Schizosaccharomyces pombe: one gene and its partner. The protein of the gene in region 2 purifies or fractionates together with the protein of the main gene of each other region. This does not show direct contact. Each region holds a gene or a part of one and is shown on either strand. Other genes may lie near its edges.

What was found. Proteins that work in one complex are often made in the same cells at the same time.
Region 1: the proteins of sec28 (region 2) and rer1 purify together in Schizosaccharomyces pombe (affinity purification with western blotting, with the first as the bait; one study listed by BioGRID). This does not show direct contact.

The regions. Positions count from the first base shown.
Region 1 is NC_003424.3:5,023,488-5,030,003, reverse strand, and holds rer1 (Rer1 family protein), read left to right. Parts: upstream 1-2,553; 5' UTR 2,554-2,596; coding exon 2,597-2,656; intron 2,657-2,709; coding exon 2,710-3,204; 3' UTR 3,205-3,861; downstream 3,862-6,516. Other genes in the region: alpha-1,2-galactosyltransferase Gmh3, read left to right, coding at 6-1,004; superoxide dismutase Cu chaperone Ccs1, read right to left, coding at 3,968-4,725, 4,881-5,007, 5,060-5,068; glyoxylase III Sdj1, read left to right, coding at 6,252-6,516.
Region 2 is NC_003423.3:2,324,119-2,330,779, reverse strand, and holds sec28 (coatomer epsilon subunit protein), read right to left. Parts: upstream 3,307-6,661; 5' UTR 3,275-3,306; coding exon 3,244-3,274; exon of another isoform or gene 3,200-3,243; coding exon 2,364-3,199; 3' UTR 2,279-2,363; downstream 1-2,278. Other genes in the region: gpa1 (G-protein alpha subunit), read right to left, coding at 1-442; put2 (delta-1-pyrroline-5-carboxylate dehydrogenase), read right to left, coding at 3,878-5,524; SPOM_SPBC24C6.03 (proline--tRNA (Pro) ligase), read right to left, coding at 6,479-6,661. UniProt on the Schizosaccharomyces pombe protein: The coatomer is a cytosolic protein complex that binds to dilysine motifs and reversibly associates with Golgi non-clathrin-coated vesicles, which further mediate biosynthetic protein transport from the ER, via the Golgi up to the trans Golgi network.

The sequences.
Region 1 (6,516 bases), on a different chromosome or scaffold from region 2:
TTAAAATGGCAGTCCTACAGTGGAAGTTATCTCGTGTTATATTCGTGTTGTTAATCATTGGGATTAGCTCTTTTCTCATTTACTTCCAATTTGGAAACTCTTTTTCTGCTTCACCTGCTTTAGAACGTTTACAAGATGTATTTTCCAAACCAAGTGTACAAGAATACGACTACTTAGTACCTCTGGATGAAGATATGCAAGGCCTTAGCACGACGTATCATCAAGCGACAATTAACGAGGATGATCCTCAAGAGCCCAAATCCCATGAAATAGTAATCCTCTTAGCGAGTGATGGACGTTCAAGTGGCAATATGGCACCTGAAACATTTAATCAATGCATAGAAAACCGAATTAACTACGCAAAGCATCACAACTATGGCTTTGAATATGTTAATGTAAGCCAAATGAACATTCCTCCAGTGTGGGCCAAAATGCCCGCTATTATACAAACAATGAATAAGCATCCTCATGCGAAATGGATTTGGTGGTTGGACCAAGATGCGTTAATTTTGAACACAGAACTCTCTATTCAAGAACATATTTTGTCACCTGACGTTTTAGTGGAAAAGTTAATGAAGAATGAACCTATGATATCTCCATTTAGTGCTGATCTCGAACGTCTCACCCCAAGTTCCTATACTGTTGACAGTGCTCGTTCTTTAGGGCTATTGATTTCTCAAGATTTGAATGGCTTAAACGCGGGAAGTTTCTTTGTTAGAAGGTCGCCCATGATGGCTCTGTTTTTGGACTTATGGGGCGATAAATCCTTTAGAGAAAATAAGGTTGCGGATCATGAACAGGCCCTTTTGGGATATTTTGTTAGATATCACCCGGAAATTGCTGCTATAATAGGAATTTTACCTCAAACCCTTATTAATTCTTACCCTGTTGGCCAGCCGGAAATGGGCTGGAAAGAAGGTCATTTGGTTATACATTTTGCTGGGTGTTGGGTGGAGAACCGTTGTCAGGTTTTGTGGGATGAATATCGTGAGAGGGTTCATTGATGTGCATTAATAATAATAGTATTACCATTATTAATGCATTTGGTTATTTCCCCTCATCTTGTCTTTATTTTTATTATACACAAGCCACTGGATGCCACTCCTTTTACATAATTACCTATACAATTATGCTCTATGTATGTGTATATATTATCTAAGCATAGTCTGCCTCCTTAACCGTGCTAGTTACGGTTGTTTTCAATGGAAGAATGTGTTTATTTTATATGCGGTGTTCTGTTACAGAGGTGGTGGATAATCATCTAATTCCTTCTTTAATTTTTCTAATATACATTGCTATATAAACTAATTGTGACACTTATATTATAGGTGGTTTTGCAGGCCCCAGACAAATATTAATTGTGTTTAATTCATAAGCTTAAGGCTGAAACCACCAATCTTTTATTATATTTGTTTTATTGCACTTAATCTTTGGCTTTTTTTCAATTATTATTGAATCTATGCTACCTGTGTGAAACATAATCGATATTACTCCTAAAAAGCTGTGGATATTTGGGTAGGTAAAGTTATATCGCTTGATCCTAAGTTTGATATTTGTATTTTTTTTTGTTTAGGAAGTTGGCAATGCTTGCAATCTTGTCTTTTTCTATACATTTCTTCCTTGCCTTTGTCTTCAATCTAATCTGCGTATAAATGTCGATCTGGTTTACTTTTATAGACTGAATTCATTAATTTCTTTTTCCTTTTATTAAAGCTATTCAATGTAGATTTGTCACATTATTTTGCTGTGCAGGATTGTCATGAATTGAAAAAGCATACGTTATCTGACTTTATGAACCTCGAAATAAAATAAACAAGCATTATATTACATTTGTGTAAATTATAATGCTGTTAGGGTTGATGATAACTGCAAAATTCATGGCTGGTTTGAAAAGAGCTTTGCCGTTAATTTCAAATAGAAGTTGACATCGCTTTATTAGAGATGTCCAGCACCGGCTATACTCAATGATCATTAGTTGTTATTTCCGCTACATTTGCTTAATGAACCTTTTTATAAAAGCTTGCATCGAAAGAAGAAGTGTCATGTTGTAAATGTTAAAGAGTACCCAGACAAATTCTTCAGATTATTATCTTTACTCTTGACTTTTCCAACAAATTGACGACTCGTTTACTACTATGAATTCTTCATAAACACCCAAATCGACATGCCATTTTTCTGCAAAATTAATGAAGTCGAAGGTGAGCTGTATACAGTTTAACGTATTGGTAAGTATATGCATTAAATTTCTAATCGGTTAATGAGTTGATCATATTTAGGAACTTCAAATTGGTAAACGTAACCGTGGTGTAACTATACTAATCTATTCAAAAAAAAAGTAATTCTGACTGCCAAATTATCACTGAATCTTTTCTTTACACGCTTACCGCTCTCGAGTCCTGTAGAGACAAATTATTACTTTATCGTTATATTACTTTAAACTAATAATATCATTCACCGATAACACATTATAATGTATACTGTATTCTAGTGTAGGGGGTAAATGGAGTCTGGCAGTAGCGCGTATATGTCTGAATTGAATACATATTTCACTTCACTACCAACCACCATTTTATCGTCTGTTTGACAGTATTTAAGCATGGAATTCATTCAGCGTCATATAGAAAATGTTAAAGAGAAGAAAAACTTTGCAGTTCGAGTAAGAATAACTTGATTAGCTTGAGAAAAGAAGAAAATCTAACGTGTTTTTAGTTGTATCGACACTGGGTGGACCGAACCATACCTTATACAACGTATAGATGGCTGACTGTTAGTGGATTAATTGCATTATTTTTTATTAGGATTCTACTGGTTCGCGGTTGGTATATTGTTTGCTATACATTAGCCATTTACCTGCTCAATCTGTTCCTTGCGTTCTTGACTCCAAAATTCGATCCTAGTGTTGAGCAAGCAATGAAAGATGAAGAAATTGAAGAAGGAGTTCTTCCTACTTCCAAAGACGATGAATTTCGACCCTTTATTCGTAGATTGCCAGAATTCAAGTTTTGGTATTCAAGCATGCGTGCCACCTTGTTCGCCTTAGTCGCGTCCTTTTTCCGAATATTTGATGTACCTGTGTTTTGGCCTATTCTTGTTGTCTATTATCTTGTACTTTCTTTTTTCTGCTTTCGACGACAAATTCAGCACATGCTCAAGTATCGTTACGTTCCATTTGATATCGGTAAGAAAAAATTTGGCTCACACTAGGTAGTGTTTGAGCTGATGATGACCATGATCGCGAAATTGTTTTTTTCTTAGAAAGATATGATCACATTCAGTTGATTATATTAATCGGATACTCCTCAGTCGTTCTCTTACAAACATTTGTTTTTTATGTTTTTATATCGCCCACTCTTACTTTTAAACATGTAAGGAATAATTTTTCCAGCCCTATGTTCTTTTTACGCGATAAAACTACTTTTTTCTTTGAACCCAGTAACCTGCAATTTCATCGATAATGATGCTAATTTCGATGCTTTGTAATCCATCGGTTCTCTGGGTGTACAGCTATCTTTCATGCATATTCAAGATGTTAGATATCTGTATCAGGCTAAAAGAAATTGGCGATTATTTCTGTTAACATGTATGTGGATTGTCATGCGGTGATGATTAAAAAAAAATCTTTCTTATTGGAGTTGGGTCTTTGATGAAGTTGATTAACGAACAAGTTACAGAATACTCGGCTTATTCTTGTATCCAGAAGCGCTGGAAGTGGGCTAATTTGAAAGACATGTATCTCTTTCGAAAAGCTTACTCGCTTCTTCACGAACAGTTGTATATGGATAATAATTAGCATGCAGGTACAAAAATAAATTCATTGAAGCAACAAAATGACATGAAATTCTTTACAGCTAAGGAGTTTTAATAAACTGCAAACCAAAATTTAAAAGGTGTTTGTCAAATTTGACAGCATGGCTACTGTAGTAAACATTTACGTACATGATAAAGTTAGTAATTGTATGGTATCGTCTTAAGCACAGACAGTCGATTTTCCGTTAGAACAGCACGAGGGTTTTTCTGATGTGCAACAGCTTTTCTTTTCTTGAGAGCAGCAGGAGGTTTTTTCTGTTGAACAGCAACCTTTTTTTTCTTGAGAACAGCACGAAGGTTTTTTCGATGAACAACAGCTTTTCTTTTCTTGAGAGCAGCAAGAAGGTTTTTCTGATGGACTAGAATCCTTCTTGGAACAGCATGAAGAACCCTCGTTGACGGATTTCAACTCGGCATGCTCTGTCCATAAACTTTTGCCTGTACAAGCACAAATTTGCTTGGTATTTTGACCCAAACCAGCGCTACGGGAAATAATTCCCATAGTGGCGGAATCAGAATCGTCGACACATTTAAGAACGAAACAGTGACCAATCCAATTTGGTAAGGATCCAGAAACCTCTTTGTCGAGAACAATTTTTCCTTGCTCATTGGAGTTTGCATTAAAAAGGGTAACAAGGCTATCGCCAGCGGATTTGAGTCCACGGGAAATGTCTCCTGAGATAGTGACTAATCCTGTATACTCTCTATTTGGTAGGAGTTGAGTAGCAATCAAATCGAGGAAAATTTTCTCCTCGGTGGGAATAAAACGGCAAAGTCCGTAAACTTTGGGAATCTGGGTTATATCTTCATTGGCTTCATAAAGAATGGAAACGCCCGATTCTTTGTTACTAGCACCACGAATGAGAATGGGCTTCGAAGTGGCATTTTCCAAGCGCCGAAGGACTTTTGAAGGAGAGACTGAAAATCTACGTTAGCTAAGAGTAAAATGAGAAAAATAGGAAGTAAAAGAGGAAGTCAAACAATTTACTTTCAATTTTATGAACTAATGTAAAGCAGGATGAACTCACAAATCTCTCTTTTCTTCCTCATTTCTTATTGGTTTTATCACTTACCAGAACCCTTCACAATTAATTGACCAGTTGCAGCATCCCATTTCCAATCTTCAATGTTTAAATCTTGGAATTCCTGCTCGAGGGTATTCTTATTTACGTCGTCACAATCCTTAATGAGATATTCAACCTAAAAATTTTATTAGCACTCTTTGAACCAAATTTTCAAACAAATGCCATACTTCAAACATGTTGAAAACAAAAAGAAGCCGAAAGCAAAATAAGCCTTTAATATGATATTATTGATGTTGGCAAATGGCAACTTCTACGGAACTGCGTAAGGTGGTGAGATTTACTTTAGAATGGAAGGCAAACTCAGTATGAAGATTAGTCAGAAGGAAAGTTAATGGTATATTGAATTGAAAAATGCAAAATATGAACGTCAATTTTTAAAGAATATCATTGATTTTATTAGAAATGACAATGAATGTTGGATTTTTCTATTTATTATTATTTATTTTTTTAAATTTTTTTGGAAGATTTGTTTTTTATTCCAAGCGAGTTAAATGGCTTTTCTTTCTGTTGGTTTATAAATGAACATAGAGATTGTATTATTATTTATTTTTCATTAATTTTTTAAAGACCATTTAGCTGTAATTGTTAGTGTACAACTCCTTCGTTTGATTTAAAAAAATAAAATAAATGCTATGGGCGATAGAGAGATGTAGGAATATCTAAATTCTAAGTATTATTTTTCTTATATTATGGAGAATTTGAACGTTCTGTTTAGTGATTACAGTACTCTCACAATTTTAGTGATTCGTATATATACATGAATTGAGTATTCTCGATTTCTTTTCAAACAAAGAATCGAATTCTGTTGGCAATTTTTTTTTTCATTCATCTATTATTATTTTAGTATTAATTTTTTCACTTCAATCGAGATTATATATTTGCTCCGGTTTGATCTATTTGCCTTTCAAAGACTTAGTATATTACATTACTACCAGTACTGTGAAACATCTTATATAGAATCCATGCAATTGATATTCGTCCATACTAGAATAAAATTTATAGTTATTTAAAATGAATTAATTAAAGTAAACTGTTGCCGAAATTCTTCAACCAATCTTTTTTGTTTATACTCGAAAATCTGCCAACTAGCGAACGTTTCATGGCCATTAGAGAATATGGGGTTTTTAAACTATGGAACTGAATGAAAGGAAATGGGTTCATTCGGAGTCCCAACCGCTTTGTATATCGCCCGTTTTCCAGAATTATGCCTTTCCATGCCTATATATATGGAATCATACGTCAACCTATTACTTTCCAACTACCAAACACTTGTGAAGCGAGAAATTTCTTTGACAACGAGTTTTACTTGGTTTTGTACTAAATTTTTGAACCCTGCTAGTGTCTTAAAAAAATTTGAAAATGGTAAAGGTTTGCCTATTTGTTGCGGACGGCACTGATGAAATTGAGTTTTCGGCACCTTGGGGAATTTTTAAGAGAGCAGAAATTCCCATTGACAGCGTCTACGTTGGAGAGAATAAGGACCGACTTGTGAAGATGTCTCGTGACGTGGAAATGTATGCAAATCGTTCATACAAGGAAATCCCCAGTGCAGATGACTTTGCAAAGCAATACGATATTGCTATCATTCCTGGTGGTGGACTCGGGGCAAAAACACTTTCTACAA
Region 2 (6,661 bases):
GGATAACTGCCCGATACTTCTCATTTTCCGGAAGTAAAGAGACATTACTATTATCCATAGCTTCAAGAAGAAGACATAGAGAGGAGATGATATTTTCAAAAATCATCACTCGATACTGCTTTCTAACTACTTGACTAAAACCGGGGCTATACAATAATCTCATCTGCTTCATAATGGTCGTTTTCCCACTATCACCGGCGCCTAAGAGCAAAACTTTAATGTCATTTCCACCTGAAGTAGAATTTCCTTTTACGCGTACTCCAGAACTTTCCACATTTTGTGGTTTTCCACGCAGGACGATATTAAGCCAGTTTTCAAGGACTGGAACTCGAGCGTTTTGACTTCCAGTTGTAGAGCTGTTTGAGGTTTGCGTATCTGAAAGCTTCTTTTGAATGACTTCTCCTCCTGATGTATCAGCGTATTTACTCGACATGCATCCCATGGTGAAAAGGCAGCTACAGATTCCAAATCCCCACAAGGAGATAATTCAAAGTCGAGACAAAGAAAGTTAATCTCCGCAATTTTCTGTAAAAACAGCAGAAAAGGTGATAAATAAGGATTTTTGGATTAAAAAAGAAATAATAGATGTCGTTAAATCTCAAATATTTGTGAAGTGGACCCAACTATAAGCAAAAAACCCAATTGCCAGATAATTCCAAGAGATCCAAAAGAATACTATTATATAGTAAAAAGAAACTATTATTTAAACAATTTGGTTAAAAAAACCAGGAGGATTCTTTGAGAAAAATCGTGTAATGACACAAACAAACTTTGGTATTCGTAAACAGTCAAATTTATTATACTATCACGGTTGCGATAAGGTATTAGATGAAATTAAATCAAGAACTGTTTAATTTTTGAATGAGAAATCAGTGGATCAACTCCTTTAATGTAAACAAAGCAACCCAAAAAACAAAATTGCGTACAATTTACAAAGAAACCAGGGTTTTAATGAGCAGCAATGGTCTCCAACTATAAAGGGAGTTACAAATACCTGTTCTCCTTTAATACTTCCTAAATGGATACTAAGATTGCTAAGCCGTCAAAGAAGTTGAGATGTTGAAAAAGGTAACTACAATGCGTGTACACTATCAGGTGGTAAGCGAGCTATTAGAATTCGTAAGAATGAAACAATTACAGAAACAAAGGCTTTTTACTTATTGGAAAAGTGAAATCGTTATACTTTCACTGGTACGTGCTTATAGTGTCTTGTCGATTTTAACAGAATATTTTTTTGTATGTCTAGTGATCCAACGGACCTGGCAAATGTCAACAGTCCGAATAAAAGAAGTTTCTACAACAAAGACCTTATCTAAAAAGTTAAGTTGATAGTACTTCGGTGTATTTACATCTGCATTTTTCTCTAAGAGCAACATCCTCACAATATGTGCCCGCTTTCAATGCTATAGTGCGAATTTGGAAGAATGGGGAGGATGAAAATGTACAAATATTTGACAGTATGAACTTCAACATCATTTATTAATAGGATTCAGAATGAACAGTAGCAAGTATCTCTTTTACTCTGCGTACCGATTCAAATCTTAATACAACAAATGCGTGTATGTAGTATGTGTTAATACTACACAACAATCCAACTATTTTGAGCGAAGTAACGCTAAATTTACAAAGAGAGTTACAAACTGATACGTTCATACATGCTTATTTAAGTGTTCGATGTCGCAAAAATGAACGTTTGCTAGTTAAAGAGTTTTGATACATGTTGGGGTTAAGCAAATGTTGGCATATATAGTTGTAATCTGTCATGGTGCCACTGCCGTTTGAGCAAGTTCATCTTCGATTCTTAAAGTCTTATCGTTTAATATCGGTTTTCTTGCTTTTTCCAAATTCCAAACACCTGTGTATTTCAAAACATCTTTCTTTTCTATTTGTAAAGGCAAACTTGTTGCTTGTCATTTTGTGGCACTGCAGGTTTTGAGTAATTTTGGACAAGAACCACCTATTCTAGATTTTTAAAAACAAATATATAGGTGGATAGTCATAATAGTTCATTTTTAATTAATGAATGTATTTGATAAATAAAAGTAAACGGTTTAAAGACGCTCCTGTTGTGACGGCGTTCATTTAAATGTTTCATTTCGAGATATATTCGGGTGCGTTTTCTTGTTATTATGTCTACATGAGTCTTCTTCTGCATGCGGTTAAGTATTTCTAATTAATTAGTTTAATACCTTTACTTCTGGTAAACTTGAAATTTATCGAGGCAATACTGGATTGACTTGCTTTGCCAGACAGATCAACGAGCCATTACTTGAGTGAAGCAATAGTCAATGAATAAATACTAAAAATGCAAACATTTGAAGTTTATTAATGGATTGAAGATTCTAAACAATATTATTATTGGATTAAGCCGTACTCAAAAATTGAGTTGAAAAAGTATCAAATTCTTGCGCCTTTTCATTTAAATGATCGTTCAACTTCAGTGTAGAAGAATTTGTAAAAGATGAAAGTATATTCTTGGCTTGAGAAGGAGCATCAGGGCCTAAATCCGTGATTGCAGTAGTCATATTTGATAGTGCCTCCTCGTAATTTGGTTGAGAATCGAGGGCAGTTTTCAGCGAGCTCAAAGCCTCTTCAGGTCTCAACAAGCATATGTCTGCACACGCCATACCAGTTAAAGTCATTGGATTGCTATCAGTTCCGTTTAACTCTTCAAAAACATAAAATGCATCATTATAGGATTCGACGCCTCCACTAACTATTTTAATCCAAGATTGTGCCAGCTGTAGTACAATTTCTTCATCAGCCCAATCCAAAGCCTGTTTCAATGTCTGTTCAGCAGCTTCAATTTTGTGCTCTCGTAAATGAATGTATACTTGAAGCGCCACCGCCTCCAAGTTCTCTACTGACTTCTTTAATAAATCCATTGCATCATCAAAAGAACCATTTTTAATTTGAAAAATAGCTCCTAATGTTTGTACCACACTGTCTGAATTGCCATGCTGGTCAATAATTAACTCCATGTTCCCCTCCCCAGCCAGCGCCAGAATAGCAGCTGATCCAGGCGTTTTTTGAGTTAAAATACTTTGGATTGATTCTAAACTTTCACCTAAAGCTAATTTTGCCCTTGCCATATAAATTTCGGTCAATTCAAGACCTTTTTCAGACATGGATGTCGTGTCAATTTCAAATAACTTTGTATAGTTTCCACTATAAAAGTATTGACGAACAAAATACAGTTCTATCAAATATTAGTTGTTATTTAATTCCCAACTCATCTCTTACCATTAGATAAACTAGCCTCCCATGAAAACATGTTAAAAGTTTTAATTATGTTGGGCGATGTGTGGAGTAGAGAGTATGTGGGTTAATGGTGTTTGTACATGAGTAACCCTACAACAAAATGTAAAGCAAACGAACTTTCCATCAAGACTTGTAATTTTTCTAATTGCTCCGAAGCCTAATATAATATATTTCGCAGTCAGCAAGTAAAATGTTCGATAATTGAGATCCTTTTTCTACAGGTCGTTGTTGTATTCAAGAATCACCAGCAAACTACATTTTGGTCCACTGGCTTTTATATACAATGCAACAAATCTAGTGTTATAAATCAATACATGTTAACAAAGCGAACATTATAATTTATTAGAATAACAAATGGCGAGCTTTAAAAAAAAAGAAAAAAAAAAATTGTAAAACCTAGACTACCTTTGAAAGTTTGAGTTTAACTCAAGGTAACTAATCAATATATATATATATATATACTTCCTTTATTCCTCACATATTGTACTAAACCCAAAAAAAAAAAGGTTGTGGTCTTTTTTATGGCAGTATCAAAGTACAGAGTAAAACACTCTACAACTCCAATGTCTATCTAAATTCTAAAAATTAAATCCAAATCAAAAAGGCCAAAACAAACTTAAAAGTTGGAAGGGTATAAAACAGAGTCTGCATAAGCAAACGTATCTTTGATGGAGCGAGGAGAAACGAATCGAGACAGAATCATTCCGCTACCAGCTTTATCGTTAGTACCACTGGCACGAGCACCACCAAAAGGTTGTTCACCAACAACAGCACCAGTACACTTATCATTGATATAGAAGTTACCAGCGGCATTACGGAGACGGTCAGTCAACTTTCTGACAACAACACGGTCCTGAGCGAAGATGGATCCGGTTAAACCATAAGGAGTGGTAGTATCGATGAGATCGCAAACAGCGTCTAAGTTGTCATCCTCATATACATAAACAGACAGTACGGGGCCGAACAATTCGTTAACGAATATATCATGTTTAGGGTTTTTAGAAAGTAAAACGGTAGGTTCAACAAAGAAACCTTCGGAATCATCAGCTTTACCGCCAGCCAAAACTTCAATTTCAGAATCGGAAGCAGCACTCTCAAGAACCTTCTTCAGTTTGTTAAAGCTTGCTTGATGGATAACAGGGCCCACAAAATTAGCAAAATCAGTTAAAGGAGCACCGACCTTAAGAGACTTGACCTGTTTGGTAAGCTCATCACGGAAACCATTTTCCCAAGCATACTTAGAAACGTAAAGACGAGAAAGGGCAGAGCACTTTTGGCCTTGATATTCGAAAGCAGCACGAACAGCATTAACAACGGCACTCTTAATTTCAGCGGAAGAATGTACAAGATGAAAGTTCTTACCACCAGTCTCACCGACGATTTTGGGGTAAGTGCGGTATTTTCCGTTGGCAACATTCTCGCCAATTGTTCCCCAAAGGCTACGAAAGACGGCTGTGCTACCAGTAAAATGAAGACCAGCAAACTCAGGGTGGTTGAAACAAACCTTGGAGACTTCAACAGCGTCACCAGGGATAAATTGAAGTGCTCCAGCGGGAAGACCAGCTTCACGGAAGATTTGGTAAACAATGTAGCTAGAAAGGACTGCATGGTCAGAAGGCTTCATTAAAACGACGTTGCCCATGAGAAGGGGGGCAGCAGCCAAGTTACCAGCAATAGCTGTAAAGTTGAAAGGAGTAATGGCATAAACGAAACCTTCCAAAGGACGATATTCCATACGGTTCCAGACACCAGGAGTGTTTTCGGGAGGTTGGCTGGCATATAATTCACTAGCATACTTGGTATTGAAGCGAAGGAAGTCAATGATCTCCATTCCAGCGTCAATTTCAGCTTGCCAGATGTTCTTACCCTGGCCAATCATTGTAGCAGCCATGAGCTTGTAACGGTACTTGGTGCTTATCAAATGAGCAGCCTTCAAGAAAATGGCAGAACGGTCAGCAAAAGGTAAGGATTCCCAGACCTTCTTTCCACGAAGTGCTGCCTCAATGGCATCTTCAACGTGCTTGGCACCAGCACGGTGATAGCGAGCAACGACCTTTTTGTGCTCAAAAGGACAACGCTGCTCACCAATGGTATTCGTTTCAACTTCCTTACCATCAATGATGACAGGGATAGTGACAGGTAATTCAGCCTCTAACTCCTTGTAGGCCTTGACGATTCCCTCTCTGTCAGCACTATTGGGACCATAGTGTTTAGGAGGCTCGTTCTTAATGGCAGGTAATTTGAACTCAGCAAATTGTGACATTTTACTTAAAAATGAAATAAATCTAATAAGTATTAATATCGCATAAATAAAACGTAGAAAACCTAAAGATAGAAAGCAATGAAAAGACGCGTAGGGGTCTCACTCAAAACAGTTATTACATAGATATAAATACTTACTAGTTTCAATCCAAACGTTTAAAGAGCGTTAGAAATCGTTTCCTTTCTAATCGCCTGTATTGAGGTATTGGTGTTCTGGAAATATCCTGACAGAGATTTGCCTCTTATATATATACTCCTATATATTCTTATAAACAGGTAGTGTCGATGTGATCGCACTCCGTGGAATTTGCAATTTTGCTTAAAAAATCAGCTAAAATATTGATTATGAGACTTATAGAAGTGAACCCTGAACTTGTTGGTCTTTGGTCGTATTATTTGATTTATTTCAAAGGGAAGTGTTTTAACTGCTTTTAATCACACTCGGACATCTTCACATTATCTTACCGAACTATTAAATAGATAGCCTGAAGGCTTGGAATTGTATTTCGCTTAAATTGTAATCTAGCGCAAATCTTTATGATTGTTAATATTAAACTCTTGCTTCGTACTATTGAATCAGCTAGCTCTTTGCAGGGATTACTTCAAACTTAGTTTTGCATCCGATCCTCAGATTGTGTATCTGATTTAATTTATGAGTTCAAACTATAGTTGCAGAAAACCGAATTACAAAAAGAAGTAGGAAGGAAACATGACACTTTTTTAATGTTTATAAAATAGTAAGATATCAATAAAGCGGAACGAGTTTTTGTCTGATACTACAAAACAAATTTTATCGAAATGATGATTTCAGCATTTTGCATTGATATAATTTTTGGACAAAAAAGCTTTTTTCCAATGTTCACAAGTAGAAATGGTATCTATTTGAACGATAAGTTAAATTCTTGACATTAGATTACTCTCATAGCATAAAAAAATATTGTAGGATTTGACAAATTTAAAGAAAGTTTCCCAAGAGTACTTGATGCAGTGAATCTTTGTCAAGTTTATATCGTTCACCTGAAGAACGAACAATAATTTCACATATTCCTTCCTCTTGAAATCTTGATCCTACAACTATTACAAATGGATATCCAATCAACTCAGCATCTCTCATTTTATATCCAAAAGCTCTATTTTG